Linked DNA regions of Callithrix jacchus. The protein of the gene in region 1 interacts with the protein of each later gene in a biochemical or structural test. Links are inferred from orthologs where the notes say so. Each region holds a gene or a part of one and is shown in the gene's direction. Other genes may lie near its edges. The genes, in order: MCM7, DBF4 and CHEK1.

Region 1 (10,432 bases):
GGAGCGCAGGAAGCTGACCAAGCTGGGGGGACCAGGCAGCAACTGCTTCGGGAGGGCAGGGTCGGGGCTGCAAGTGAAGGTGGGAGGAGAGGGGCTGGAGGGTCAACAGCAAATACCTGGAAAAGGCCTGAGAGTTGAGAGCCTCCTTGCACCCGAGGCAGGTCCCAGCGAAGGGCTCCCTCTGCCAGCTCGGCCTTCTGCTCTGGGCTGCTCAGCTCCTGAGAAAGGCTGGAGTTTGGAGAGGAAAGATGCTGAGCTTGACACCTTCTCTGGGCAGGCCCATTGTGCTGACCTCACTCCCCGCCTACCTGTGCCTTGCTACCTCCCAGGGCACACGCACTTACCTGATCACCCCTCGAGGCAGGGGGAGGTGCAGCCTGACATTGAGGGCTTGGCTACAGAGGAGACGGGAACAAAGTCAGCCCCAGGAAAGCATGGTCCCTTGTCCTGTTCCCCTTCAATGTCACAATGGGATTTCAGCACAGTTGCCCCCCATCTTCCCAAATGCTACAGCCTCTACCTAAACTGGATTCTGAGGCTGGCAGGTGCATCTGAAGAGAGTAGCAGCAGATGTCCTGGCCCTGTCTCTTATCCCACAGAGCTGAACTCGGCCTCACTGGCCTCCACTCTTACCTCTTCAAGGGCAGGTCACATCGTAACTTCAGGTAAACCTGGAGCCTGGACGAGAGAATAAAACACCATGACTCGGGCCATCTCTTACTGGCATCTCACCATTCCCCACCAGGGGGCTCTGTGCAGGGCTGTGTGGGCTGTACCCCAAAGAGCTGAAGCCCAGCCCAACTCCATTAGCCAAAGCTTTTTCCTTTTTTTTTTTTTTTGAAGAGACTGGGTCTCACTATGTTGCCCAGGCTGGTCTGGAACTCCTGGGCTCAAGTGATCCTCCAACCTCAGCCTCCCAAAGTGCTGGGATTACAGGCATGAGCCACCATGCCCAGCCCAAGCCTTTTTCCAATCTGCACTTCATCACCTCTACCACCACCCCCACTCTGCAGTGAGTGTTGGGAACATACACATCCTCTCTTGGGCTCCAAGGTACTTCTGGAACCCAGGAAATGGTCTCACCGGCCTGAGCCTCGGTCCCACTGTACAGAGGGGAAGAGCCGGAAGGGGAGTGGTGAGAGGAGGTCATCGGAGAGTTGGTACCGCATCACAGTCAGCTGAGAGACCAGAGAGCAACAGGGTCAGTTTGGTCTCCTCAACCCCACACTGCCCCCTTCCCCATGGTGGACAGAATTTACAGGGCTACCCCAATCCTGACCTCGCCCTGAGGTGGCTGCAAGCGGATGATTCGATGAGACTCAAACTCGTCCAGATTAACGGAGCTGTGAAATGAGACTTCATCGACCCGGATTCCTGGCCCATAACCTGGAAAGAGAGACTTCTCTCCTGACTCCTTTTGGGAGAGGGAGAAAGGAGGGGGAAGATCCGTCTCTGACTTCTCTCCATGAACTCTCTGGCAATGAGAGACCTACCCCAGAGAGAGACAGACCCTTTCTCCTCACCTCTCAGCTCTGACTTCCCCACACAAAACTCTTCCGTCAAGCCAATGCGCATCTCTGGCAGAGGAAAGAACATTAGGAGAGCTCGCAAACTCCACGGTGTAAAACATCAAGGAACCTGCCCCAACCCCAACCCTGGGTCCTGCCTGCAGATGCCTCACCAGAGCCACTGGGAAGGAAGCTCTTGAGCCGAATCTCTCCCTGCACATCCACCTTCAGTAGGGAGCCCTGAGAGGCAGAGGTCAAGGTTGGAATTTTTCTTTTTTTTTTTTTTTTGAGACAGACTCTTGGTCTGTCACCCAGGCTGGAATGCAATGGTGCAATCTCAGCTCACTGCAACCTCTGCCTACCAGGTTCAATCGGTTCTCCTCACAGCCTCCCAACTAGCTGGGATTACAGGTGCCTGCAAGCACGCTTGGCTAAATTTGTCTTTTCAGTAGAGATGGAGTTTCATCATGTTGGCCAAGCTGGTCTCAAACTCCTGACCTCAAGTGATCCACCAGCCTCGGCCTCTCAAACCGCTGGGATTACAGGCATGAGCCACCGTGCTGACTTCTTTCTTTAAAGAGACAGCGTCTTGCTCTCTCACCCAGGCTAGAGTGCTTTGGTGCCATCCTGGCTCACTGAGGCCTCAATCTCCTGGGCTCAAGCGATCATCCTGCCTCAGCCTCCCAAGTAGCTGGGACAGCAGGTGTACACTACCATGCCTGGGTAATTTTTTTGTATTTTGTAGAGTCAGGATCTGGCTATGTTGCCCAGGCTGGTTTCAAATTCCTGGCCCCAAGTAATTATCCCATCTCTGCCTCCCAAAGCACTGGGATTATAAGCATGAGCCACCGTGCCCAGCCATTGCTGGAGTCTTAGCCACCCCAACATGTGTCCCAAATCTCATTTGTCCTCAGCTCAAGGGATGGGAGCTCAAACTTACATTAGATGCTATCAGTACAGATAATCTCTCAACCACATCCAAAAAAACTTCATTCTTCTGGCTCTGAGAAAGAGAGAGGATTTGGGTCGTTGGAAGCAGAACAGTCTATGTTCTGAAGTGGACAGACAGAAGAAAGAACAGAAGAATGGTCAAAGCTACAGCTCTAGGGTAGGGACACAGGTGCCAGAAGGGATACCCACATCTAGGAGAGGTGGAAAACGTACCAAGATCTTTTTTTTTTTTAATTTTTGCATTTTTAGTAGAGATGGGGTTTCACCATGTTGACCAGGCTGCTCTCAAACTCCTGATGTCAGGTGATCTGCCTACCTCAGCCTCCCCAAATGCTGGGATTACAGACATGAACCACTGTGCCCAACCTAAAATCTTGGACTCTGGGGTCCCAGAGCAAAACCACAAGGTTGGACCCCATGGATCCCTCTCTCACCTGGTCAGAGCGACTGGACAGAATGGGGCGGCTGGCTGCACTGCTGGGGGCCACTTTGCTCTGTTGTGTCTCAGCCCCAAACTGTAAAGTATCCAAAGCAATCAATCCTCAGGTCTGACAACCCCAGGCAACACCCCTTCTCCTTCCTCACCCTCCTCTTTTTCTCTGCTGACCAAGCCAACACTGCTGAGGTCAAAGAGGCTGAAGGGCTTGCTGACCACAGCTTCCGTCTGGATGAAATTCCTCAGCATCTCCATAGATGTGGTCTGTACGTAGCCATAATCCTAGCGTAAAAGAAGGACAGTCTGAGAAGTCAGTGGAGGGAAGGGGTAAAAAAGGTGAAGTGGGGGCCGGGTGCAGTGGCTCACCCCTGTAATCCCAGCACTTTGTGAGGCCAAGGCAGGTGGATCATGAGGTCAGGAGTTCCAGACCAGCCTGACCAACATAGTGAAACCCCATTTCTACTAAAAATACAAAAAATTAGCCAGGCAGGTGGCATGTGCCTGTAGTCCCAGCTACTCAGGAGGCTGAGGCAGAAGAATCACTTGAACTCAAGAGGCAGAGGTTGCGGTGACCAGAGATCCAGCCACTGCACTCCAGCCTGGGCGCCAGAGACTCCTGTCTCCATAAAAAATAAACAATTAGTTGGGCACAGGGGAGGCTGGGGCAGGAGGATTACTTGAGCCCAGGAGTTCCAGGTTACAGTGAGCTATGACTGCACCACTGCACTCCAGCCTGGGTGACAGAGCAAAGACCCTATCTCTAAAAGGTAAAAAAAAAAGGAGTAGACTTGGTCTCCCAACCACAGCATCCCGCAGTAGAAGAGCAGAAGTATCTCCAGGGGAATTGGGGGGCGGGCACAGAAGGGGATCATTGATTCTCACCAGCACTTCATCCAGGAGCTCGTAGACCACAGCCACGTTGCGGGAGATGGTCCCCTCACCCAGGGCGCCACAGTAATCGCCCAGAAGGGTGGCCAACCTGAAGAAACACTTGGGAGTATGCATTTCCTCCTCCTCTTAGACCCCCACTAGCTACCAGGTGTCCAGCCCAGCCCTCCTCACCTGGAGAGCAGTTCTAGGAGGCCGAAGGGAGAAACGTTTTCTGAAGTTGTGACCACCAAATAGAGGCCGCTGTGTCTGATGTGAATGAAATGACGGCCCTCGTGATGCTGAGACACAGGCAGGTAGAGTAGCATTAGGAAAAAGGAGCTGGGGTGATCAGAACCCAGGAGACCTGAGCTCGGATCCCGATGCCTCTTACTAGTCACAGTAGCAGTGACTTCGGGAGATACATGACAGGTTCCTGAACCCAGCTTCCCAATGTGGAAACGGGGTTAATTACAGTAGCTACACCTAGTTGCTGAGGATGGAGTCATAAAGGGAGCTGGGCCTGGTGTTTTGCTGCCACCTGATGTAAGTTTTTTTTGTCCCAACGTCCCCCCCCCCCCGACCCCTGCCCGATGTAGTCTTGCTCTGTCACCCAAGCTGGAGTGCAGTGTGGCGATCTCGGCTCACTGCAGCCTCTGCCTCACGGGTTCAAGCGAGTCTCCTGGCTCAGCCTCCCTAGTAGCTGGGATTACAGGCGCTCACCACTAGGCCTGGCTAATTTTTTTGTATTTTTAGTAGAGGCGGGGGTTTCACCAGGTTGGCCAGGCTGGTTTCGAACTCCTGACCTCAGGTGATCCGCCCCCCTCGGCCTCCCAAAGTGCTGGGATTACAGGCATGAGACACCGGGCCTCTTGTTAGTTTTATATGGAAGAATGCACCCCATCCCAAGTGGAAGCTACCAAGGAATCAGCCCTGGGAGGGAGCCGGCGGGCCAGGTGGGCGCCGGCTCCCTGCTCCCCACCCGCCTCCCGCCAGTGGTTACCATGACAACCGGGGACTCGTCTCCTGGCAGTCCCGTCAGCTTCCGGTAGAAGAGCTCGGCCACATCCCGGCCGCCACTGTCCCCACGGACTGGCGGGTGGAAGAACTCAGTGAAGAAGCCTGCGACACGGGCTGGCCCCGGGCGCCCCTCCCGCCCGACACCTCCGCCCCTTCCCAGCCCCGCGGGTCTAGGATACAGTCTTTGTAGATGAGCGGGTCCCCCTTGGAGGACAGAATGAAGAACTGGGAAATCATGGCCGTTCTGGAGAGTAAACGAGAAGACGGCGAAAGTTGGGCCTGCCCCGCCCTGAGGCCCCGGAACAAAGGAACACGCGTGCGCTGGCCCTTTAAGAGCGATTCTGCTCCGCCTAAGCCAGCTCGGACCGCGGGAAACCAGACGCCCGCCCAGCCTAGCTCGGCGATTCCCTCCCGACGCCCACACCGCCTCCCCGTCACTCATTCCAGGTCCTCCTGGTGATTGGCTTGAGGCTAGCTGGAGGCGGGGAGAGGGCCGGCCTCTGCAATTGGCCGGCAGGCAGTGGCGCCGGTCACGTGGGGGCGACGTTTCGCGCCAATTTCGGTTGGTCAGCCACAGTCCACCGCGCGGACGTTCTCCGCTTGCCCGGGACCCAGACCTCTGAGTCCGCCAAGCGCTGCCGTACGGGCCTCGGTAGTGATGGCACTGAAGGACTACGCGATCGAGAAAGGTACTGCTCTACGAGCCTGGGAGGGCGTCCTGCGCGGGGAGCCTCCCGGGGAACACCTATTGGTGTGAGCTGGGGTCTTGTGGAGCCGGGATCAGCAAGTTCTGGGGACCACAAGGCTAGAGGCAGGGTCGGGCGGCCGCCCGGCTGAGGCCCACGAGGCGCAGGTGGCATCCATGTTGAAGAAAAGCTGGTAATCCCACGTAGTAAAGGTGTTAGGGTCATGGAGTTGGGGGCTTGGGGGCGCTAACCTGGCTGGGGGGGTGCTGCATAGGGGAGAATCGCGCCCAAGACCTCGGAGTACCCTAAGGACTCTGGGGTTCCGGGCCTGCTTTCCTCCGCGCTTTTGGGCATTCCCCAGTTCCCGCGTCCTCCCGAGGCGCGCGGAGGCCCTGGGGGCGGGCAGGCCGGGCCGCTACGCACCAGGATTGGCCGTTTGAGGCCGCCCTCCAAGCGGAAGTGGAGCCGGGCGGAAGTGGCGCGACGCGGATGGAGGGAGTGTCGTGTAAACAGTGTCCTTCCGCGCAGCGGCCTCGGAGAGAGCTGTGGCCCAGGGGAGGGGGCGTGCCTGGGAACCGGGAGCTTCGCTCGTGCCCCGGAAAGGCGGTAGTGGGCTGGGATCGCGGCGGCCCCAGGCGTGTTGTCCAATGGCTGGATGGGCTCCCGCCCTGGGCGGAGGAATCCCGGGCTGTGAGGCGGCTGGAATCCGGTCCCATGTGCTTCTTTGTTTACTAAGAGCGGAAGCGCTGGCGGGAGCGGGGGTGGGGTGCGCGACCCGCCTGATGGCGGAGGTCCTGGCGAGATCAGGGGCTCAGGGGCCCAAAGAAGGTGGGGGATCATAGGGGTGGAAGGAAGGCTGAGAACCTTGAGATCGGAGTGTGGGGCGCCGATGAGGAAGGGCGCTAGGGTTTTAAAGTAGGGACCGGAATTCCCCTGGGAAGACGATGTTGGATCATCCTGTGAACTGCCACGACCTCTTTATTCTTCGCTGATTAAAAACAAACTTGTGAAAAAGAGTTATACCCATTTTGGGGAGAATTCGGTAGGTTTATTTAAATGCTCATATCGTTAACTAGTTCATAAATCGTGTTTTAAGTGAAAATAGGCGTCTTAGATTTCTGTCAGAGGGATGGGCAGTAATATAAAGTTTGTGTCTTATGATTTTACCTTTTACGTTACAGAAAAGGTTAAGAAGTTCTTACAAGAGTTCTACCAGGATGATGAACTTGGGAAGAAGCAGTTCAAGTATGGGAACCAATTGGTGAGTCTAAGATTGGGTAAAGAGAATGAGGAGTCGGGTTTTAAGAAGTCCTAAGAAGCGGCTTGTTTCATCAAGGATGTTTTTCTGACATGTTTATCAGGGCATTTGATATCTGGTAAGAGAATGTGATGCTATAGTATTTTCATAATAATTAGAGAGTTTGGGGGCTGAGAAGTGAGTGTGCTCTCTGAGGTGCTATGTTCTCCCCTGTGGATGCCCAGAGCCCGTGCTGAGCTCTCAGTGATGCATCTTCACACGTGAACACTGAACAAGTGAACATGGCTCTGAGGTGTTGCTGTCTCTTTCCCACCTGAGGTTCGGCTGGCTCATAGGGAACAGGTGGCTCTGTACGTGGACCTGGATGATGTAGCTGAGGATGACCCTGAGTTGGTGGACTCAATTTGTGAGAATGCCAGGCGCTACGCAAAGCTGTTTGCTGATGCGGTACAAGAGCTGCTGCCTCAGTACAAGGAGAGGGAGGTGAGTGACTGGAGAACAATGCAGGGCAAGGCGTTTCAGCTTCTGTTAAGAAGCTTCTCAGATACTGATGTTTTCGGAGCCAGGCAGAAAGCAGGGGCACTTCTGCCTGGCATTGTCTGTGCTCTCCTTTCCCCATCCTGTTACTCATTTTTTTCTGCTCTTCTCCTTTAGGTGGTAAATAAAGATGTCCTGGATGTTTATATTGAACATCGGCTTATGATGGAGCAGCGGACTCGGGACCCTGGGATGGCCCGAAGCCCCCAGAACCAGTATCCCGCTGAACTCATGCGCAGATTGTGAGTGGTCTCTGTTGGGAAGGATGTAGGGATTGGTTTGTGACTCCAGGATCTTGTTTGTGACTGTTTTCTCCTCTTAGTGAGCTGTATTTTCAAGGCCCAAGCAGCAACAAGCCTCGTGTGATCCGGGATGTGCGAGCTGACTCTGTGGGGAAATTGGTGACTGTGCGTGGAATCGTCACCCGTGTCTCTGAAGTCAAACCCAAGATGGTAGTGGCCACTTACACTTGTGACCAGTGCGGGGCAGAGACCTACCAGCCGGTACGTGTGGAGGAAGGAGCAGGAAAGCACTTCACACTTAGTCATTTTATAGAAATTGATATGATCCATGATGCCTATCGTTTTTTCTGGTTGTAAAAGCTACCTATGTGTTCACTTTTCATTCTTGGGTATGTAGTGGTCTTTCTATTTTCTGGGTGTCTTCTGTTGTCTAGAATAAGCTCAAAGAGTTCTTGATTCAGAAGATGTCTGCCATGAAGAGAAAACATGATTCAAGAGACCGAGATGGGGCTGTTTTTCTTCTGACTTCCTTTGGTGTTTCTGTTCTCAATCCTAGATTCAGTCTCCCACTTTCATGCCTCTGATCATGTGCCCAAGCCAGGAGTGCCAAACCAACCGCTCAGGAGGGCGGCTGTATCTGCAGACACGGGGCTCCAAATTCATCAAATTCCAGGAGATGAAGATGCAAGAACATGTGAGTTTGGGGTATGTGGCCCTGGGCAGGTGGATCAGGAGTCCACTTGAATCCTGTAGTCACTGGTGGAATGGCAAGAAGAACAAAAGAGGGAAGTGCAGGAGTGAGGTGGAACTGGGGTTTCTTGAGAGCCTTGGCAAGGGGAGAAAGGCAGTCTCAGCTTCCGTCCTGTGGGCTTATCTGTGGCTGGGCAGGCAGGGAGTCTTGGCGTGGGATGCCTAGGGAGGGAAGGTTGGGTCCTTGTTTATTTCTCCTGAGCCTTATGTGCTCTTCCCTCCCCTAGAGTGACCAAGTACCCGTGGGAAATATCCCTCGTAGTATCACAGTGCTGGTAGAAGGAGAGAACACAAGGATCGCCCAGCCTGGAGACCATGTCAGTGTCACTGGTATCTTCCTGCCAGTCTTGCGCACTGGGTTCCGACAGGTGGTACAGGTAAGGAAGGGAGTTTGATATGAGGAACAGATCATCCCATTTCCCCTCACCCACTGTACCCATACAGAGAAAAGTGAGTAGCAAAGCACCAAACAAAACAACACAGTGCTTTATCAAGAAATTGTTAGGGAATCTGGTGATGGGTAAGTTCTAAGGATTGCATCTGTATCCTGACATTTTCCTGCCTAAGGGTTTACTCTCAGAAACCTACCTGGAAGCCCATCGGATTGTGAAGATGAACAAGAGTGAGGATGATGAGTCTGGGGCTGGAGAGCTCAGCAGGGAGGAGCTGAGGCAGATTGCAGGTGATGCTCAGGAGAGAGAGGAAATTCCGTTTACATCCTACCCCCCCATTTTCCCCCACAAAATACCTTAACCTTAAAATTCTCCACAGAGGAGGATTTTTACGAAAAGCTGGCAGCTTCAATTGCCCCAGAGATATATGGGCATGAAGATGTGAAGAAGGCACTGCTGCTCCTGCTAGTGGGGGGTGTGGACCAGTCTCCTCGAGGCATGAAAATCAGGGGTAAGAAGAAAAAAGGGCAAGGCTCAGGGTAGATGAAGTCATTTGGGAGGAAAAAAGGATGACAAGTGTCCCCATAGGTCACAGTATAAGAGTGGGCGTCTTCGATTCATGGACACAGGGAGGGCTTAGAAGTAATGCTAGGTGTTGGGGGAGGCAGAATTCAAAATTGCTCTGCTGTTGGCCAACTTGCACTGGGAGAAGAGTCATTCCTGGGCTGCCTGTCTTCCTCTAGGCAACATCAACATCTGTCTGATGGGGGATCCTGGTGTGGCCAAGTCTCAGCTTCTGTCATATATCGATCGCCTGGCCCCCCGCAGTAAGTAGTTGGACTTTGAGAGGGGTGAACATAGTGACAGACAGGACCACAGGGTTTATTCAAAAAGTGGGGGTGCATAGTGGCTTACACCTGTAATCTCAGTGCTCTCAGGCTGAGACAGGAGAATCATTTGGGGCCAAGAGTTTGAGACCAGCCTGGGCACCATAGTGAGACCCCGTCTCTACTAAAAAGGGCTTTTTTTTATTATTATTATTTTTGTTTGTTTGTTTTTGTTTTGAGACAGTCTCACTTTGTCGCCCAGGCTGGAGTACAGTGGCGTGGTCTCAGCTCACTGCAACCTCCACCTGCTGAATTCAAGTGATTCTCCTGCCTCAGCGCCCCACAGAACCTTGGGCATCCCGGGGAAGGCCTGGGGCAGGTGGAACAATCCCAGCGCAGCCCCCCCTCTCTGGCTCATTTCTTGTCTTTTGCTTGCTCTCTCTCTCGTTCCTTTCTATCTCCTAACATGGCTCCTTATTTCTTCTCTTCCAGGCCAGTACACAACAGGCCGGGGCTCCTCAGGAGTGGGACTTACAGCAGCTGTGCTGAGAGACTCCGTGAGTGGAGAACTGACTTTAGAGGGTGGAGCCCTGGTGCTGGCTGACCAGGGCGTGTGCTGCATTGATGAGTTTGACAAGATGGCTGAGGCCGACCGAACAGCCATCCACGAGGTCATGGAACAGCAGACCATTTCTATCGCCAAGGCTGGCATCCTCACCACACTCAATGCCCGCTGCTCTATCCTGGCTGCTGCCAACCCTGCCTATGGTCGATACAACCCTCGCCGCAGCCTGGAGCAGAACATACAGCTGCCTGCTGCACTGCTTTCCCGGTTTGACCTCCTCTGGCTGATTCAGGACCGGCCTGACCGTGACAATGACCTACGGTGAATGAAGCTCAACACCCAAAGAGAGGTCCCCTGTAATGATCTGTGGCAGGGGCCGGGGGTGAATCAAAA
Region 2 (10,332 bases), on another chromosome or scaffold:
GTAGGTTCTAGATCTATTCTGAACCTATTTAGCAGTCACTGTCTGCTAAAACAATAGCAAAAACAAAATCGGCTTTCTCCAGACTATCAGAGTAGATCTAGAACCTACACAACACAACATTTTTTAATTTTTGTGGGTGGTGGTTCTAATCTCAGTTTCAGTTTTCAAAGCCGTTGCTATGCTGCTTTGGGTCTGTCCTTAGCATGTGCAGCTTTGAATTAAGCCCTGTACTTGTGTGGATTTATACAGGGAATGGATCCCTTTCTAACTTGATCTCTATGATTAATCTCCAGCTCACAGTGGCCTCTTTACCAGGTCTTAGTCAGAAAGTGAAGGTTTCTCAATGTTAGCTTAAGCTTGTGCTACCTTTACAACCTTAGCTTCCTGTTTGGGGCCCACCCTCAGAGCAGAATTGTGGGAGAAAAGAAATAAAGAATATAGGGATTCTTGTGGTATTTTTGGACTACTAGAACTTTATTCCTGGTTCTTCCAGACAGAAAGATAAGGTTTGTATAGAAGTTTCAGCTGCTGTCTCTGCCACTGCTGCTAACTCCAAGACTGATGGTTCCAGTTTTGACTTCTTTCCACAATCTACATGCTTATTTTTTTCCCCAATCTTCAGGTAGTTGCTTATTCAGTGTTGTCCAGAATTTTTACTTGTTATCAGTAGAACTGATTACCATCTTGGACGTATTGAATCTTTGCCTAAATTGACAGACTAGTAAATGTTGACTAGTTTCTTTCTTCAGTTTAATACAAAGATTTTGCTGAATTAAGGCATAAAAATAGGCTCCTGCTCAACTCATTGGGAGGCTGAGACAGGAGAATTACTTGAAACCAGGAAGCAGAGATTGCTTCAGCCTGGTTGACGAAGCAAGGCTCCATCTCAAAAAACAAAAAGACTTTTTAAAAACGTATTTCACTACCTACCTTTTCATTATTGGTTGATTTCTTTTTAAGAAGTCCAAATCAATTATAGTTAGAATGCATGGTACTTGGGTGTATGTATTGTAAAACAGTTTTAGTTACTGAATTCTACTCTAGTGGTTACAATCTTTAGTTCTTGAAGGATTGTTGTTTAATGTCTGAGGTTTTTTTTTTAACAAAGCAAGAATAATCCTTGATATAGTACTTTTCTGCATGATTTTTTTTATCTTGAGGATATTGAGCAGTTGGATTTGCTCTTTTAACTGTCCTTTAAAACCCAATCTTTTCGCTATTTTTTTTAGGGGAAAAGAGTTGGTACCGGTGCACAAAAAACAAGAAGTAAGTATCTTGATATTTTTAAGTATATTTGCTTTGCTTTTGAAAAATCATAAAAGATCTTCTAAACTCATGTAAACCACCCTCTAAATGATTTATTCAGGGCTTTCTTGGTCTTTTTTAGAATGTAGATCCTTAGTGAAGTTTGGTGAAGCCTGTGGACCACATTCTCAGAATAGTGTTTAAAAATTTCTTTTTAATCATTAGACTACCAAGAAAATGAATTACATTAAAATTTAGTTATGAAAATGGTTTTTAATTATGAAAGAGTGATAACTTGCTTTTTTTTTTTTGGACGGAGTTTTGCTCTTATGTCCCAGGCTATAGTGCAGTGGCGCAATCTCGGCTCACTTCAACCCTCCCCCTTCCGGGTTCAAGCGATTCTCCTGCCTCAGCCTCCCAAGTAGCTGGGATTATAGGCAGGTGCCACCATGCCCAGCTAATTTTTTGTACTTTTAGTAGAGACAGGGTTTCTCCATGTTGGTCAGGCTGGTCTCAAACTCCCAACCTCAGGTGATTCGCCCACCTCAGCCTCCCAAAGTGCTGGGATTACAGGCATGAGCCACTGTACCCAACCTTGCTTTTTATTACATAGAACAGATTATAGCAGTGAATCTAATTGCTACTGTCATTTGAATTAATAAGCATAAAAAATGCTTTGCGATGTCTGTTTAGTTCATAACTGATATGAAAATTTGGGCTGTTTCTATTAGTACCAAAGTTGCTTTTTTTGAGAGGGAGTCTTGCTCTGTTGCCAGCCTGGAGTGCAGTGGCACAATCTCAGCTTACTGCAACCTTCACCTCCCAGGTTCAAGCGATTCTCCTGCCTCAGCCTCCCGAATAGCTGGGATTACCCGCATCCACCACCATACCAGCTCATTTTTGTGTTTTTAGTAGAGACGCGGTTTCACCATGTTGGGCAGGATGGTCTCAATCTCCTGACCTTGTGATTCACTCTCCTCGGCCTCCCAAAGTGCTGGGATTACAGGCGTGAGCCACCACGCCCAGTGATTTGTCACATTTATAACTGGAGGAAATGCTAAATTTCAGTTTGTGGTCAGTGAAAATAATAGTGTAGTTTTTCTCCTGTTCTAATTTATGACCCTCCTGAATCGTATTCATATGAGGGTTTCATTTAGTTTAAGACTCTGAGAACATAGAGAGATCTTCTGTTATTTTTGGACATGAGGTGGTAATGGAAGTACCTCATCTGAGGCTTACAACTTTAAAATGGATATATAGATTTTTTGTTTGGGAGGGTTTTGTTTTGCCATAATTGCTTTATTTTTTAAAATTCCTGTATTTGCAAGTAACTAATATGTTTTTTATATTCTTAAGCAGGAAGACTCAAAAAGCCTTTTGTAAAAGTAGAAGATATCAGCCAGTAAGTATCTTAAGTCCAGTCTGTGTGATTTAAGTGCAGAACTAAAGGGGAAGATTACCTAACTAATTAGGCTAGCTCGATTACTACTGTTAGGTTCCTTTGTGTTTGATTTATATTATACTAAAGTGCCTGCGGCACAAGTTATCTAACGTAGCATGAATTCATTTGTGCTGAAAGACTAAATTTGGTTTCAGTATGTTGTGGATGTCTCTGAAATAGCTGGCTTAGAAAAATCATGATGACATTTTTTAGTATTTAAAGTAATTCTATGGCTAAATGCAGTACCAATACTTAAAGATTACTCCTGCATTTGTGAAAAAGAAATTATTAGATGCTATTTAGAAATAGAAAATCTAAGTATAACATCTAACACAGTTGATTTCCAAAACTCACTCTGAAGTATTTTAGGATAATCTTGTTGTTGTTCGTTTTGATTTTTGGAGATGGAGTCTCACTCTGTCACCCAGGCTGGAGTCCAGTAGCATAATTCATTGCAGCCTCTGCCCCAACAAGTTCAAGCAATTTTCCTGCTTCCACCTCCCAGGTAGCTGGGATTACAGGTGCATACCACCATGCCCAACTAATTTTTGTATTTTTAGTAGAAATGAGGTTTCACCATGTTGCCCAGGCTGGTCTCTAACTCCTGATCTCATGTGACCCTCCAGCCTCAGCCTCCCAAAGTGCCGGGATTACAGGTGTGAGCCACCATGCCCAGCCATATAGGATAATCTTAATGAAGACTGTAGATATAAATAGGCCTGCTGTGAGAGAATTAGGTTACTTTCTTTTTTCTTTCCATTTACTTATTTAGATGTGTGGTTAATTCTCTTGGGTACTCACACTGAGGTTACAAAAATTGTACTGAAAGCTGCTTTTTATGAAATGTGTTGCTATGAAGAAAAAGTGCAATTGAAAAGGAGGCCTAGAGAAGACACTAGTACACAAAAGGATATCCCATGTTCATGAACTGGAAGACATAATATTTTTAAGATGTTAATATCACCCAAAGTGACCTGCAGATTCAGTGCATTCCCTGTCAAAAATCAAAAGATGTTTTTTGCAGAAATAATAAAAATGTTTCCTAGAATTCATATGGAATCACAACAGATGTCACATACCCAAGACAGTCGTTAAAAAGAACAGCAAAGTAGGACTTACACAATTCCTGACTTCAAAACTTACTATAATGCTATAGTAATCAGAACAATTTGGTACTGGAATAAAGACATATAAACCAATGGAATAGAATAGAGAGACTATAAATAAGCCATCACACCTATGGGAAAATGATTTTCAGCAATGGTAGGAAGATCATCTAATGGAGAAAGGACAGTCTTTTTAACAGTGTTGAGAAAACTAGATATACACATGCAAAAGAATGGCATTAGACTCCTACCTTACATCATATGCAAAAATTAACTCAAAATGGACCAAAGACCTAAAATGATAAAACTCTTGGAAGAGAACATAGGGGAAAAACTTCATGGCATTGGATTTTTAGTGCTTTATTGGATATGACACCAAAAATACAGACAAAAGGTAAAGTAATCAAATTGGTCTATATCAAAAATACAAAATTTCTGTGCCTAAAGAGATATAACAGTAAAAAGGCAACCCAAAGAATGGAAGACGATACTGCAAATCATATATCTTTTTTTTTTTCAGCTTTTTCAGGTTGAAGAAGTCATATATCTAATAAAGGTGTTAATATTTGGAATATATAAAGAATTACAACTCAACAACATAAAACAACCCAATTTTTAAAATGAGCAAAGTACTGAATAGACATTTCTCCAGAGATGATATTCAAATAGCCAATAAGCTTATGAAAAGATGCTCAATATTGCTAATCATTAGGGAATTGCAAATCTAAACTACAATGAGATACCACTTTACATTATTTACGATGGCTCCTATTAAAAAGTCCACAGCAGCCAAAAAGTGAAAGTTAACCAAGCCCATCAGCAAAGAAATAGATAAACAATATGTGGAATATGTGTGCACACAGTCAATGGAATATTACTCATCCTTAAAAAGGAAAGAAATTCTGACACATGCAACATGGATAAACCTTTGGACATTATGCTAAGTGAAATAAGAGGAAAAATACTACATAATCCCACTCATGAAGCACCTACATTAGTCAAATAAATAGCAGGAAGTAGAATGGTGGTTGTTAGGAGCTACAGAGAAAAAGGATGGTTGGGAAGTTACTGTTTGATGGGAACAGAGTTTCAGATTTTGCAAGATGAAAATACATCATCATGCAAAAGATGACCAATAGCAGTGATGGTACCCCACAGCATTATGAATACTTAATCCTACTGAATTGTACACTTAAAATAGTTAAGGTAGTAAATTTTATGTGTATTTTGTCACAGTTTTAAAAATGTGTAAATGTTAAAAATATTAGGCCTAGAAATTGGATTTTTGAAGGGGGAAGCCTAAATGATTTCTGTTGTTTATTTCAGATTCCACTGAATGAGGTGATTTTGAAATATAAAACTTTAAAATTTGTTTTCTTTCATCATAAAGAATCTCATGTATTTTGTCTATTTTTTTTTAGACTTTATAGGCCATTTTATCTTCAGCTGACCAATATGCCTTTTATAAATTATTCTATTCCGAAGCCCTGCTGTCCATTTGATGTAGAAAAGCCATCTAGTATGCAAAAGCAAACTCAGGTGAAACTAAGGTTTGTTTGAATCTTTACTTCTAGATGGAATATTCAGAATGTCATCTCAATTGTTCTTTATAAAGATTTGAAATAGTTTGGTTTATGCCATAGTGGTTGTTTGTGTTTGTAATTACTATTCTGATTACTTTTCCCTCTGTATATTTTTAATCTCTCTACACTAGATTTGAATTCTGAATCTGTTTAGATGGAGGTAGGGAGGGCCTTAAAATATTTGTAAATAATGAAAATGTGTAGTTTATCTTGAATGACTGAAATATTCTCAAACTATTTTTTAAATCTTAGTTTGCTTCTTAACATATTATAAAGAAATATGATTAAAAGTACTTGCTGATATAAGTCTCTGTAAATTATGCAGATTCTGTGTGTGATAGTTTAGGACAAAAATTTTTAAAAGTTATTCCTTAGGTTAAGCAGTTAATTCTTTACCATGTATTTCTGTCATCAGAATCCAAACGGATGGCGATAAATATGGTGGAACCTCAGTTCAACTCCAGTTGAAAGAGAAGAAGAAAAAAGGATATTGTGAATGTTGCTTGCAGAAATATGAGGATCTAGAAACTGTAAATGTGATTTTATATTTTAGGAACTTGTTTCAAAAACTGTAATACTTGTGTTTTAAATTTTAGCTTGTTCTGATGGAGATTTTTTACATTTTAAGAACTCAAGGGGGAAATGAGTATTGAAAATTACTTTTACTCAACAAATACTTACTAAGTACTACATACTGATCACCACTCTGGGCAAGCAGCATTGAACAAAACAGACTTAATTTCTTACCCTTGTGAAGATTATATTCTGTGGGATGAGGATTGGGTAGTGGTGGAGATAATAAAAAGGATAGAGAGAATATTAGATCAGTGCTATGAAAAAACATAACATAGGAATGGGCATGTTGGTATTTAACCTAGACAAGGAACACCTAACTGATGAGGTGACATTTGAGATCTGAGAGAAGTGAAGTAATGAGACCTGGATAGTGAGATAAAGAAGTGCAAAAGTCCCAATTTAAAATGATTGATGAGATCAAGGAATAGATATTGATGGTCCAAACTAAGTCGTAGTAGAAATGCTGAAACATGGTCAGATTGTGAATATGTTTTAAAGGTGGGACCAAGAAGATTTGCCAATGGATTGGATGTTGCAAGCAAGGGAAAATGGTAGTCCAATGGTTACTATAGGATTTTGAACCTGAGCAATTTTTTAAAAAGCCTCATTTATAATGAGAAGAGGAGTTGAAAGAAGTAAAGACAGTTCATTGAGGTAGGAGAAAGAAATGGAAGAGTTGGAAAGAGTATATAGGATGAGGATGGGGAAAATACTATAGTTTGTAAACTGATTAAAAGAGCAGCACCTATGGATTCAAGCTGCCCAGGTTTGAATGCTGGCTTCTTGTCTATGTGACCTTGGACAGTGTTTGGCACATAGTAAGTGCTTATTGTTAGCTGTTACTTGAATTTTTTAAGTAGTAGATAGGTTTGTTTTGGTGTTTGGTTTGGTTTTGGTAAAAGATGGAGGGAAACTTAAGGAGAAAGAATAATACTTGAACATACCTGTCTTCAGACTCTGAATTGAAGTTTGTTTTATAAACCAAAATATATTAGCGTTTTGTGGTAGTTTTTGTTTTTTTGTAATAAATGAGAAAACTATAGTTAGTCTAAAATTGCTTTTAATCAGAAGCTAAAGTATCTCAGAAATATTTTCCCTTCCTGAAAATCATTTTGAAAATTAAAATTACGTGTTGGTCCAGAAGTTTTACTTTGCTGGTATAGCAACAAAATAACCCGGGAGGCGGAGGTTGCGGTGAGCCGAGATCGCGCCATTGCACTCGAGCCTGGGTAACAAGAGCGAAACTCCGTCTCAAAAAAAAAAAAAAAAAAATCTGGAATGGATACTTAATTTGGTGCTCAGAAAATGTCGAGGCTGAAAAATGAAAAAAAATGTTCACTGGTTGCCACAAAGAAGGAAAATTAGTGAACACAGAGGTTGGGATTGAAATTTAAGATCATGTTTTTACAGTTTTCATTTGTATGTTTCTAAGCTGCCAAGAGTAAAGAAATTTTTTTTGAACGTTAGGTTTCACAGTGATTCAATTAACAAATACGTTTGAATACTGGAGATAAAGTAACAAATAAGGTGACATCCCTACCCTTATACACCTTATGGTCTGGCAAAGTACATAGATAGAAAATACGAATTTGCAAATGTGATGACTGTCACAAAAGTAAAGTATGAAGTGCAATGGGAATAAATAATGAGGTTACTTAAAGCAGAATGAGGGTCCCAAAAGGCCCAACTGAGCACAAGTGACTTCTAAATTAAGACTTTAAGGATGAATAAGAAGAACTTAATGGAAATTAGAGGGAACTAAATAAAAGTTGGAAATTTTCCTTCCTAGAACATTGGTAGACTGAATCAGAGCTTACAAATGTGATGTTTCCTTTTAAACTTAAATAATTGCTCATTTTTATTGCTGGGCATATATAATTTGTGTATGGTAAAGCTTGCAAGTAAGGAAGAAATACATGGGTGTTCTAGGATGCATTGTGTTTTTTTGAGACCAGTGGAGATGTTTTTAGAATTGTAATCAAATCATCAAAATGTAAAACTGCATGAAACTAGGGATACAGAAATTAGATCTTTCCTGATCATCTGGAGGCAAGCTTCTAAGTACAATTCCCTGATCAGCTGATAGACAAATGATAGAGTTGGGCTGGAGATTCCACCTATTCGAAAGGAACTTTGTTCCTATGAATTTTATCTCTCACTATGCTGTGAACATGTTTACTTTTGTTTTTTACCTTTTTTTTTTTTTTTTTGAAATGGAGTCTTGCTCTCTCACCTAGGCTGGAGTACAGTGGTGTAGTCTCAGCTCACTGTAACCTCTGCCTCCCAGGTTCCAGAGGTTCTCCTGCCTCAGCACCCCCAGTAGCTGGGAATACAGGCATGGGCTAATTTTTGTATTTTTATTAGTGACTGGATTTCACCATGTTGGCCAGGCTGGGGTCTCAAACTCTTGACTTCAAGTGATCTGCCCTTTTCGGCCTCCCAGAGTGCTGGGATCACAGGCGTGAGCCACCGCGCCTGGCAGTTTTGGTTCTTAAGAATAAGAGAATAACTTCTGTATACTCTGTTATGAGCACTGGGTAATTGAAATCATTTGTTTTGTTGTTCATTTTCAAATGTGTTCTTTAATTATGAATCTTGGCTTTTTTAATACTTCATAGTACTTAATGTGGTTCCTGTGTTTAATCTACTTTCTGGATTCTTGTATGTTAACTTATATGTAATTAATTTTCTATAAGTCCTGCCTTACTTAGTGGTAACTGCCTAAAGACAAAGTAATAGAGGGAAGTGTGTTTTCCAAAATGTTACTGTTGTGTCTCTCCATCTGTATCTTCCTTTTTCTTTGAGATGGAGTCTCACTCTGTTGCCCTGGCTAGAGTGCAGTGGTGCCATCTCAGCTCACTGCAACCTCTGCCTCCAGGGTTTAAGCGTTTCCCCTGCCTCAGCCTTGTGAGTAGCTGGTACTACAGGCACGTGCCCCCCACACCTGGCTGATTTTTTTTTTTTTTTAGTAGAGGCGGGGTTTCACCATGTTGGCCAAGCTGGTCTTGAACTCCTGACCTCTGGTGATTTGCTAGCCTCGGCCTCCCAAAGTGCTGGGATTACAGGCATGAGCCACTGTGCCCAACCTGTGTTTTTGTTTTCTGACATAGTTCATTCTTTTTAGTTCCATTGTAGCTACAAATTAGTACTTGTCTTTTCTCACTGAAGACTAAAAACCAAAGTAGTTTTACTGGTTTCTCAGAAGTGACTTTTATTTTAAACATCTTTTGAAGTCAGTAAAGATATTATCTTTGGAGTAGTTATTGGAAACCTAATTTTAGGGGCATGAGAATGTTAAAAAACCTTAATAAAATGGCATCTCTTGGTTTTAAAATACAATTTTTTAATACATGTTTTTAATTTTGTTTTAGCACCTTCTAAGTGAGCAACACAGAAACTTTGCACAGAGTAACCGGTATCAAGTTGTTGATGATATTGTATCTAAGTTAGTTTTTGACTTTGTGGAATATGAAAAGGACACACCTAAAAAGAAAAGGTAATTAGTGCTATCAACCTAAATTTTAAATTATAGTAGAAGGCTGGGCGTGGTGGCTTATGCTTGTAATCCCAGCACTTTGGGAGGATCACCTGAGGTCAGGAGTTGGAGACCAGCCTGGCCAACATGGCGAAACCCTGTCTCTACTTAAAAAAAAAAAAAATACAGAAATTAGCCGGGTGTGGTGGTGCACACCTGTAATCCCAGCTACTTGGGAGGCTGAGGCAGGATAATCCCTTGAATCTGGGAGGTAGAGGTTGCAGTGCTCCAGCCTGGGTGATAGTGAGACTCCATCTCAAAAATAAATACATACATAAATAAAACAAATTATACTAGAATATTAAACTATTTTATTAAACTAAAAATAAACACAGTATGCCTGTTCTTAGAAGGAATATGTATTTTCAGGATGTAAATATGGTTAAAAACCAGTAACTTCTTCCCTTCCCTTTTTCCCTACTATCAAAGATGCTTACCTTAGACTACTTTTACTTCCATTGTTTTTAAGTTTTCTTTTTATCTAAAATTTTTTCTTTTTTAAATTTTTTGTTTAATTTTGAGACAGAGTCTCGCTGTATCACCCAGGCTGGACTGCTGTTGCATTCTCTCGGCTCACTGCAACTTCTGCCTCTGAGGTACAAGAGATTCTCGTGTCTCAACCTCTTGAGTAATTGGGTTTACAGGCATATGCCACTACACCCCACTAATTAGTCTCATTCTTGACATTGTAGTTTAGAAGGAGTTGATGGACTTTTCCCATAAAGAGCCAGATATTTGATATTTTAGGTTTTGTGAGCCATAAGATCTCTGTTGCAACTAATTAGCTTCTTTATTTTACAATGGATATGGCTGTATTTTGATACAATTTTATTTGGAAAAATAGAC
Region 3 (10,332 bases), on another chromosome or scaffold:
TCCATCCTTACCTGTGGTCACCTGAGGTCTGAAAAGAATAAATGGAAAATTCTGGAAGTAAACAATTCATAGATTGATTTTATTTATTTATTTAATTTGAGACAGAGTCTCACTCTGTCACGCAGACTGGAGTGCAGTGGCATGGTCTTGGCTTACTGCAACCTCTACTTGCTGGTCTTAAATGATCCTCCCATCTCAGCCCCCTGAGTAGCTGGGACTACAGGTGTGAGCCATTGTGCCCAGCTAATTTTTGTATTTTTGGTAGAGATAAGGTCTCGCCATGTTGCTCAGGCTAGTCTTAAACTCCTGGATTCAAGCAATCGACCCACCTGAGTCTCCCAAAGTGCTGGGATTATGGGCATGAGCCACAATGCCCTACCATAGGTTTTAAATTGTTTGCTATTCTGAGTAGCATGATAAAATCTCGTGCTGTCCTGCTTCATCTCACCTGGGATGTGAATCATTCCTTTTTCTAGTATATTCATGTTCTATGTGCTACCTGCTTGTAACTCATTTAGTAGCTAATTTGGTTATTAGATCCAAAGAACATATGTAGGGTTTGATACCATTTGTACTTTCAGGCATCCACTTGAACATATCATCTGTGGATAAGGGGGACTACTGTAGTCAGTTCTCAGACATCTTGTTTTATCTCGTCAGTATTTTTTACAGTTGATCATGCCCTCCTCCTTTAAACACTTTCTTCATTTGGCTTCCAGCCATTCTACTCTTCTGATGTTTGTGCTTCTCACTGGTTGCTCCTTTTCAGTCTCTTTGGATGGTTTTCTTTCATTTGCTCAGCCTTCTACTACTGGAGTTCTCCAGGGCTGAATCTATGGATTTCCTTTGTTTTCTCCACACCCACTCCCTTAGTAGTAGTATTTGGTTTTGTGGCTCTGAAAAAAACTATATGTTGATAGTCACATTTATATCAACCTAGACCTTTCTTCTGAATTCCGAACTTGTATGTCTTAACTGCCCTCTCAAATTTCGCTTGAATGTTAAGCATCTCAAACTTGATGAGTTCCAAACTGTTACTGATCTTTTCGTTTCAAACCCATTTCTTTTCTAAGTCTTTTCCATGTTGGTTAACGGCAACTGCATTATTCTTATTATGCAGATCAGAAACCTTGAGTCATCCTTCATTTTTCTCATTCTCTTTTACTTGACACCCAGTCCACCAGGTAATTGTTAACCTCTATCTTAAAAAAAATTCTAGAATCCGATTACCTTTTTTCACCTCTACTGCTACCCTGTCATTCCATACTACTATGATATCTTTCCAGAGTGTTCTGATTTAAAAATAAATTAGAATATCTCATTGTTCTACCTAAATCCTCCAATGCTTTAGTTCTCACCAATGGTATAAGCTAAAATCAGTTCATGACCTGTGAGTTCTTACCCAGTTTTGTCCCTTACATTACCTCTCCAACTTCACTTCTGCTTTGCTCCCCCTTGGTCATAGCTATGGTGGTCTTCTCGTTCTCCAAAAACTCTAGGCACACTTCTACCTCACTGTTTTTGTAATGAATGTTCCCTATGCCTGGAAATGCTTTTTCCCATGGAACTTAGATGCGTGTCTTATTTTCTCACTTTCTTTGGATATTGACTTCAGTGTCATCTTTTCAATAAGCCTTTCCTGGCCATGCCATTTAAAACTATCCTCTTCTTTCTAATACATTTCTTAAATTTTTAAAGTTTTTACTATCTTGTGGACATATGCAGTCCAACACATTTCTTCATTTTATTTTCCTCCATTGTACATTTAGCTTATTGATTTTTAATTTTATTTAAATTTATTTTATGTTATTTTGTCTCTCCTCAATAGAATGTAGGATTTAAGAGGTCAAGGGTTTTTTTTCTGTTTTGCTCACTGCTGAATACCTAATACCTAGAATAATGCCTGGCACAGAGTAGATCTAATAAAATATTTGAATGAATGGATTAATAAATAAAAAGCAGGTTTAAAAAAAATTTTAGCATGTTTAAGTGGTTTGGGTACAGATCCTGTAGAGAGGAAGAGGCTGACAGTCTAAGAGAAAGGGAATGAATAACAGAGGATCAAGATCCCTCAGGAGGTAGAAGGATATGGGCTCTGGAACACGAGTAGAGTGATGAACATTCCATAGGAGAATGGAAGGAATGAAAGGATGTGTAGTAATACAAGTAACTTAGCAGATTTGCTGCGGACAAGTTGATGTAGTTTCTGTCTAATGGCTTTATTTTCTCTCTGAAATGGGAGGTGGTAGTTTAGGTACTGGACAGTAGTCTTGGAAATTACACAGAAGTGTAGTTTTGAAATGATCCTTGTGGAGAAAAGGAAAGGAAACTAACTAGAGAAGGAAATAGAATTATCTGGCAATATTGAGGTTCGGCTAGGGATTGTAACCATAAATTTATAGTGGCGTCATTTTGAGTATAATCTTCATTGTAAAGAATCAAAGAATGTTGGCTAGAGAAGATTCATAATATTTATTGTTATTATCATACATTTTTTTTATTTTTAAAAGTTCTAGTCCTTTAGCCAGGTCTGTCGTTTTCATGGAACATTTTTCTGTTACCCACAAAAGATGCCATTAAGATTGTGGCCTGAGCATACTTCACACTTGGAACACGCCTACAGGTCATACTTCGGTATTGTGAAATACCTAATTTGACAAGTGAATCTTAGTAATTTAATAACTTGACCACATTTTTTATAAAGTCATATAGGAAGACTTTGTTTTATATCTTGTAAATATTTTGTGTTAAATAAATAGATTTAGAAAGAGTTTTACTTCTTCAAGTTACCAGTTGGGCTAACTTAAAAACACATTTGCATAGAAGACTTGAAAGCATTTGTATTTTTTTTCTTTTTTAGGGGCAAAAAGGCCCCGAGTCACTTCAGGTGGTATGTCAGAGTCTCCCAGTGGCTTCTCTAAGCACATTCAATCCAATTTGGACTTCTCTCCAGTAAACAGTGCTTCTTGGTAAGACTGATAAAGATTAAGTCGTTTTTGATTGTAGTATTCCCCATGAAGAATAATACATATATGTATTTTTTTATAATAATCAACAATGGACATAATACTGTGTGAGAGTGTTTGTGTGATGTAAGAAAGGCATGATAGATTTTATTTTATTAAATGTATATTTCCTTCTGTCCTAATGCCTCAGTGAAGAAAATGTGAAGTACTCTAGTTCTCAGCCAGAACCACGTACAGGTCATTCCTTATGGGATACCAGTCCCTCATACATTGATAAATTGGTACAAGGGATCAGCTTTTCCCAGCCCACATGTCCTGATCATATGCTTCTGAATAGTCAGTTACTTGGCACCCCAGGATCTTCACAGGTGAGGGAATTTAATTTTTTAAATAAATAATGGCAGCTCTTTATTTGTTATTGTCTTAAAGTCCCTTTTTATTGTGAAAATCTTAAGATATATAACTTTTAAATCACATGGTTTTTTTTTTTGGTTAAAGAAGAAAGGGGAGGGAATCCTTAATGCAAAAGAATTTTAAGTCAGACTAAATGGCTATGATCTTACTGTCTTTAGTCATAATGGATTTATTTAGTTGTCTTCTGTTTGATATATAGAACCCCTGGCAGCGGTTGGTCAAAAGAATGACACGATTCTTTACCAAATTGGATGCAGACAAATCTTATCAAAGCCTGAAAGAGACTTGTGAGAAGTTGGGCTATCAGTGGAAGAAGAGTTGTATGAATCAGGTGTGTTTCATTGATTTTCATTATAACTTTTCCTGAAGAAAAATTTAAATAGGCCGGGCACAGTGGCTCATGCCTGTAATCCCAGCACTTTGGAGACTGGGAGGCCGAGGCAGGTGGATCACCTGGTTCGAGACCAGCCTAACCAACATGGAGAATCCCCATCTCTACTAAAAATATAAAAAATTAGCCGGATGTGGTGGCACATGCCTATAATCCCAGCTACTTGGAAGGCTAGGGCAAGAGAATCACTTGAACCTGGGAGGAGGAGGTTGTGGTGAGCCGAGATCATGCCATTGTACTCCAGCCTGGGTAATAAGAGTGAGACTGTCTCAAAAAAAAAAATTAAATATTCAAGTAAAAACTATCATTTGTATATTTTTAAAATACAAGCTGGGCATGGTGGCTCCCGCCTGTAATCCCAACTCTTTGGGAGGCCAGGGTAGGTGGCTCACCTGAGGTTAGGAGTTTAAGACTAGCCTGGCCAACATGATGAAACCCTGTCTCTACTAAAAATACAAAAATTATTCAGTATGGTGGTACATGCCTCTAATCTCAGCTTCTGGGGAGGCTAAGGCAGGAGAATCACTTGAAACCCATAAGACAGAAGTTGCACTGAGCCGAGATCACACCACTGCACTCCAGCCTGGGTGAGAGTGAGATTCTGTCTCAAACAAACACACTTAGAAATATATAGTAATTAGTTAATTTGAAAAATAAACTAGTAAAATATTCTTTACCTTAAGAAATAATGTATATTTTTTTCTTTTTTAGCCACTATGCCTGGTCTAAGAAATAATATTTCTTAAAAGGCCTTTTTAGTGTTATTAAAAATATTAGGTAGCTGGAATCATTATTTTCTTTAAAATTGTATATGCTTAAACTGTAGACAGTAACAGTTGACTGCCTACCCTGAAAGTCAAATACATTAGCAGTCCCATACTTTTTCCCATCTCCCATTATTGCAGCTGTCAGTTTTTATTGTTTATATTATTAGAGCATAAATATTGGTATTCTAAACTGTCTTTAAAGCTTTTCAGAAAAATGTTAACATCACGAAAGACAAATAGGCCAGCTGTTTTATATTGAAGGAGACTAAAGAGGCCTCCTGATAACTAAGTGCAATGCATGATCTTTCACTAGATCATGTATTTGAAAAAAAAAAAAAAATAACAGATATTGTTGGAACAATTGGGGAAATTTGAATACGGACTGTATGTTAGGTAATGTTTCTGTATTAGCATCAGATTTCTTGGGTGTGATAATACTGCGTTTTGTAGGAGTATATCCTTGTTCAAAAGAGAAACATATTGAAGGAAAGTTAAAGTGAAGTGATATCTTCATTCAGTTTAAACTTTAAAAGAAAGAAGGGTAAACAGCTACATAAAGACAAGCACACACATCTTGATAGATAAGACCAGTGAAGACTATATGGTTATTTATTGTACTCTTCTTTCAGTTTTCTATAGATTTGAGTTTTCAAAATTAAAAAGGGAAACTGTTACTGTGTAGAAATCTGAGGCCAGCCTGATATTCCTCTCACCTATAGGTGATTCACTCTTTTTCAGTTAGACTCATAGAGATAAAATTTGCATAATATAAAAATCATGACTTTAACCGTTTTAAAATTTTTAATGCAGTGATTTTTAGTATATTCACAAGGTTGTACAATCATCACCCCTGTCTAATTTCAGAACATTGCATCCACAGGGGGGAAAAAAAAGCAAAAAAAAAACCTTTGTACCTAGTAGTCACTCCTTATTCTTTATTCCTCCATTCCTAGGCTACCTGGAATCTACCTTCTCTCTTTAGGGATTGCCTTTTTTTGAACATTTTACATAAATGGAATCTTATAGCATGTAGTCCTTTAGGTCTGTCTACTTTCATTTAGCATAAGGTTTTCAAGGTTCATGGCATTGATCAGTACTTTATTCCTTTTTATTTTGGAGACAGAGTCTTGCTCTGTTGCCTAGGTTGGAGTGCTGTGATCTTGGCTCACAGCACCCTCTGCCTCCCAGGTTCAAGCAGTTTTCCTGCCTCAACCTCCCACACACCTGGCTAATTTTTGTATTTTAGTAAAGACAGGTTTTTACCGTGTTGTCCAGGCTGGTCTCAGACTCCCGAGTTTAGGCAGTCTGCCCTCTTCAGCCTCACAAGGTTGCTTGGATTATAGGCGTGAGCCACTGCACCTGGCTGTTCCTTTTTATGGCTGAGTAATATTCCATTGTGTGTATGTACTACATTTTGTTTATCCATTCATCCGTTGATGGACATTTGGGTTGTTTCTACTTTTTGGTCATTATGAATAATACTGCTACGAACAATCTTGTACAAGTTTTTGTGTCACCATATGTTTTCAGTTTCTTAGACATATATGGAGGAGTAGAATTGTTGGAACATATGGTAACTCTTCATTTAATTTTTTGTGAAACTGTGAAGTGATTTTTCCAAAGCACCTGTACCATTTTACATTCCCACCAATAATGTATGAGAGTTCTAATTTCTCTTCATCCTTGCCAACACTTACTGCCCCCGCTTTCTACTATAACAATCCTAGTATGTGTGAAGTGTTATCTCATTTTGCTTTTGATTTTCATTTCTCTAATGACTAATGATCTTGAGCATATTCTTATATGCTTATTGACCATTTCTTTATAACAGTGTCTATTCAGATCTTTTGTCCATATTTTAACTGGATTCTTTTTATTGTTGTTAGAGTACTTTGTACATTCTGGACACCGGAACCTTGTCAGATACCTGATTTGCAAATATTTTCTCCCATTCTGTGGGAGAAAATTCCTCCATTCTTTTCGTTTTTTTGTTAGTGTCCTTTGATGTACACAAGTTTTAAATTTTGATGAATTCCAGTGGATCTATAATTTTTCTTTTGTTGCCTATGTTTTAGTGTCAAATTTAAGAAACTGTTACTTAATATAAGATTATAAAGATTTATACTTTATGCTTTCTTTTAGATGTCCCAGCCTCCTAAGGAGCTGGGACTACAGTCTTAAAGTTTAGCTCTTATATTTAGGTCTTTGTCCTTTTTGAGTTAATATTTGTATATGGTATGAATTAAGGTCCAAATTCAAATGTTTGTATGTGAATATTCAGTTTTTACAGCACCATTTGTTGAAGACATCTTTTCCAATTGGATAGTCTTGGAACCTTTGTTGAAAATAATTGGTGATAAATGTGTAGGTTTATTTCTGGACTCAATTTTTTTTTCTTTTCTTTTTCCTCCCCCTGTGGCCTCAGTTCTTTGTTTCATCTATATGTCTGTGCTGTGCCATTACCATATTATTTTGTTTACTGTAGCTTTGTAGTGAGTTCTGAAATTAGAAAGTATGAGTTGGCTGGGCACGGTGGCTCACGCCTATAATCCCTGCACTTTGGAAGGCCAAGGCGGGTGGATCATGAGGTCAAGAGATTAAGACCATCCTGGTCAACATGGTGAAACCCTGTCTTTACTAAAATACAAAAAATTAGCTGGGCATGGTGGCGCATGCCTGTGATCCCAGCTACTCGGGAGGCTGAGGCAGGAGAATTGCCTGAACCCAGGAGGCGGAGGTTGCGGTGAGCCGAGATTGCGCCATTGCACTCCAGCCTGGGTAACAAGAGTGAAACTCTGTCTCAAAAAAAAAAAAAAAAGTATGAGTTGCCCAAGTTTTTTTTTTTTTTCAAGGTATTTTGGTTATTTGTGGCCCTTTGTTTTTCTATCTGACTTTTAGGATCATCTGATTTGTTTCTGCAAGAAAAAAATTTGGAATTTTAAAAGAGATTACATTGAATCTATAGATATACTTGGGGAATACTTCCATTTTAGTACAGATTGAGTCTTCCTTATTCAAGGTCCTTGGGAAAAAAAGTTTTGTGGATTTTACCTTCGTTTGGATTTGGAATATTTGCATATACATTGAGATAACTTGTGGATGGGACTCAAGATGAAGCATGAATTTTATTTATGCTTTGTACATATATTATACAAATAGCCTGAAGGCAATTTTATACAATGTTTTAAGTAATTTTGTGCAAGAAACAAAGTGTACATTGTACTATCAGAAGGCAAACTTATCAGGTGTGAAGTTTTTCATTCATGGCATCATGTTAGCACCCTAATAGTTTTGGAGTTTGGAACATTTTAGATTTCAGATTTTAGATTATGGATGCTAAACCTTAATCTTCCAATCCAATAACATGGGACATTTTTAATTTTTTAGGGTCTTTAATTTCTTTCAAGAATATTTTATAGTTTTCAATGTTCAAGTCTTGCACTTCCTAGGTTAAATGTAATCCTGTTTATTCTTTTTTTTAATCCTGATGCTGATGTAAATGGAATTTCTTTCAATTTTATTTTCAAATTGTTCATTGCTAGTATATTTGCAAATAAATTTTGTATATTGATCTTGTATCCTGAAAATTTGCCAAACTCATTTATTAACTCCAGTAGTTTTTTTTTTGCAAATTCTTTTGGTTTATATATATATGAAGATTATTTTTGATATATTAAAACAGTAAATTGTTTTACCTTTTTTTTCTTGTGATCTGGATGCCTTTTAATTCTTTTTCTTGTTCAGTTGTTCTAGATAGGACTTCCAACATTACGTTGAGCAGAAATAGTGAGAGTGGACATCTTTGTCTTGTTCTTGATCTTAGGGGAAAGTTTTGAGTCTTTCCACATTAAGTATGATGTTAGCTGTGGGGTTTTAGTTTTTATGATGAAAGAGTATTAGATTTTTTTCAGATGTTTTCTCCATCTATTGAGATAATCGTGGATTTTTTCCCCCTTTATTAATATGGTGTATTAATACCTTGGCCTCCTGTGCCCAAGTGATCCTCCCACCTCAGCCTCCTAAGTAGCTGGGACTACAGGTGTTCACTACATACCCAGCTTTTTAAAAATGTTTCTGTAGAGATGTATTCTCTCTGTGTTGATGAGGCTGACCTTGACCTTCTGGGCTCAAGTGATCCTCCTGAGTAGTGGGGACTACTGGTGTGCACCACCATGCCTAGCTAAATTGACAGTTTTCATCAGTCTATTTTGTCTAGTATCAGTATAGCCACACCAGTTCACCGGCTATCTTCTGCGTATTTTCATTTGTTTAGATGGAGTCTCACTATGTTGCCCAGGCTAGAGTGTTGTGGTTATTTATAGGCACAATTATAGTGCACCACAGCTTCAAACTCCTGGGCTCAAGTGACCTTCCTGCCTTGGGCTCCCAAGTAGGTGGGACTGCAGGGACATACTACCATACCCAGCTACCAACTCTCTTGGTTATTGTTTACAACTGTTTTTTTGTTTCCACATATGAGTGAGAACATGTGATGTTTAATTTTCTGTTCCCGGTTTATTTCAGTTAACATAATGTCCTCCAGTTCCACCCATGTTGCTGCAAATGACAGGATTTCATTTCTTTATATGGCTGAGTAGTATTTCATTGTGTATGTATATCATATTATCCTCATCTGTTTGCTTGACTTTTTGTTTTGTTTTTTGGAGACAGGATCTCACTCTAGCTCATGCTGGAGTGCAGTGGCTCAATCATATCTCACTGCAGCTTCGACCTCCTGGGCTCAAGTGATCCTTCTGCCTCAGCCTCCCTGAGTAGCTGGGCCTACAGCCATGCACCACCATGCTTGGCTAATTTTTTTGGAATTTTAGTAGAGATGAGATATTGATATGTTGCCCAGTCTGGTCTTGAACTCCTGGGCTCACAGGTCTTCCTGCTTTGACCTCCCAAAGTACTGGAATATAGGCATGAGCCACGGTGCCTGGCCTATTCTCATCTGTTGTTGGGCACCTAGGCCAATTCTGTATTTTGGCTATTGTGAATAGGCATGCAAAGGTCTCTTCCATATAATTTCCTTTCCTTTGGATAACATCTCAATAGTGGGTTTGCTGGATCTTACAGGTAGTTTTATTTGTAGATTTGGAAGAACTTCCATTCTGTTCTTCATAGTGGGTATACTATATGGCTTAACCTTATTTTTGTTGCTTTAGGTTACTATATCAACAACTGATAGGAGAAACAATAAACTCATTTTCAAAGTGAATTTGTTAGAAATGGATGATAAGATACTGGTTGACTTCCGGCTTTCTAAGGTAATTTTATGTTTTATTTTAGTATTTTTCTATGGAAATATTTCTATGTGACTTTTTAAATGCCATTATGTTTGTATATATGTGGCATTTGTAAATAGAATGTAACTTTTTCATTTAGAGCATGTGCTTTTGTTAATCTATTTTTCCCAAACATTGTTTTTTCAACCGACATTTTCCTTATTATAGAAGTTTTTGCTAAGCACGGTGGCTCACACCTGTAATCCCAGCACTTTGGGAGGCCAAGGCAGGTGGATCACAAGGTCAGGACTTTGAGACCAGCCTGGCCAACATAGTAAAACTAAAAATACAAAAAATTAGCCAGGCATGGTGGCGGGTACCTGTAATCCCAGCTACTCGGGAGACTGAGGCAGGAAAATCGCTTTTACCCGGTAGTTGGAGGTTGCAGTGAGCCGAGATTGCATCATTGGACTCCAGCCTGGGCAACATTATGATACTTTATCTCAAAAAAAAAAGTTTATGCTTTTGTGAAAAATGTAGATAAGCAAAAAATGGTAAAATAAAAA

What was found.
Region 2: of the proteins of MCM7 (region 1) and DBF4, one has a biochemical effect on the other in vitro, tested with the Homo sapiens proteins (2 studies listed by BioGRID). The link is inferred for Callithrix jacchus from reciprocal best matches to the Homo sapiens genes MCM7 and DBF4.
Region 3: the proteins of MCM7 (region 1) and CHEK1 form a complex in vitro, tested with the Homo sapiens proteins (2 studies listed by BioGRID, with this or other methods). The link is inferred for Callithrix jacchus from reciprocal best matches to the Homo sapiens genes MCM7 and CHEK1.

What each region holds. Positions count from the first base shown.
Region 1 is NC_133503.1:13,478,921-13,489,352, forward strand, and holds the start of MCM7 (DNA replication licensing factor MCM7), read left to right. Parts: upstream 1-5,343; 5' UTR 5,344-5,440; coding exon 5,441-5,471; intron 5,472-5,719; exon of another isoform or gene 5,720-5,898; intron 5,899-6,194; exon of another isoform or gene 6,195-6,510; intron 6,511-6,649; coding exon 6,650-6,729; intron 6,730-7,044; coding exon 7,045-7,209; exon of another isoform or gene 7,210-7,213; intron 7,214-7,380; coding exon 7,381-7,505; intron 7,506-7,585; coding exon 7,586-7,766; intron 7,767-8,061; coding exon 8,062-8,199; intron 8,200-8,482; coding exon 8,483-8,632; intron 8,633-8,822; coding exon 8,823-8,937; intron 8,938-9,026; coding exon 9,027-9,158; intron 9,159-9,390; coding exon 9,391-9,474; intron 9,475-9,966; coding exon 9,967-10,360; intron 10,361-10,432. Other genes in the region: AP4M1 (AP-4 complex subunit mu-1), read right to left, coding at 117-228, 345-395, 634-678, 1,084-1,178, 1,280-1,386, 1,524-1,577, 1,682-1,748, 2,449-2,511 and 6 more. UniProt on the Homo sapiens protein: Acts as a component of the MCM2-7 complex (MCM complex) which is the replicative helicase essential for 'once per cell cycle' DNA replication initiation and elongation in eukaryotic cells.
Region 2 is NC_133512.1:61,834,763-61,845,094, reverse strand, and holds part of DBF4 (protein DBF4 homolog A), read left to right. Parts: intron 1-1,229; coding exon 1,230-1,266; intron 1,267-2,601; coding exon 2,602-2,647; intron 2,648-5,213; coding exon 5,214-5,342; intron 5,343-5,790; coding exon 5,791-5,905; intron 5,906-9,322; coding exon 9,323-9,447; intron 9,448-10,332. UniProt on the Homo sapiens protein: Regulatory subunit for CDC7 which activates its kinase activity thereby playing a central role in DNA replication and cell proliferation. Required for progression of S phase.
Region 3 is NC_133511.1:25,251,904-25,262,235, forward strand, and holds part of CHEK1 (serine/threonine-protein kinase Chk1), read left to right. Parts: intron 1-2,860; coding exon 2,861-2,969; intron 2,970-3,156; coding exon 3,157-3,334; intron 3,335-3,579; coding exon 3,580-3,711; intron 3,712-9,706; coding exon 9,707-9,808; intron 9,809-10,332. UniProt on the Homo sapiens protein: Serine/threonine-protein kinase which is required for checkpoint-mediated cell cycle arrest and activation of DNA repair in response to the presence of DNA damage or unreplicated DNA.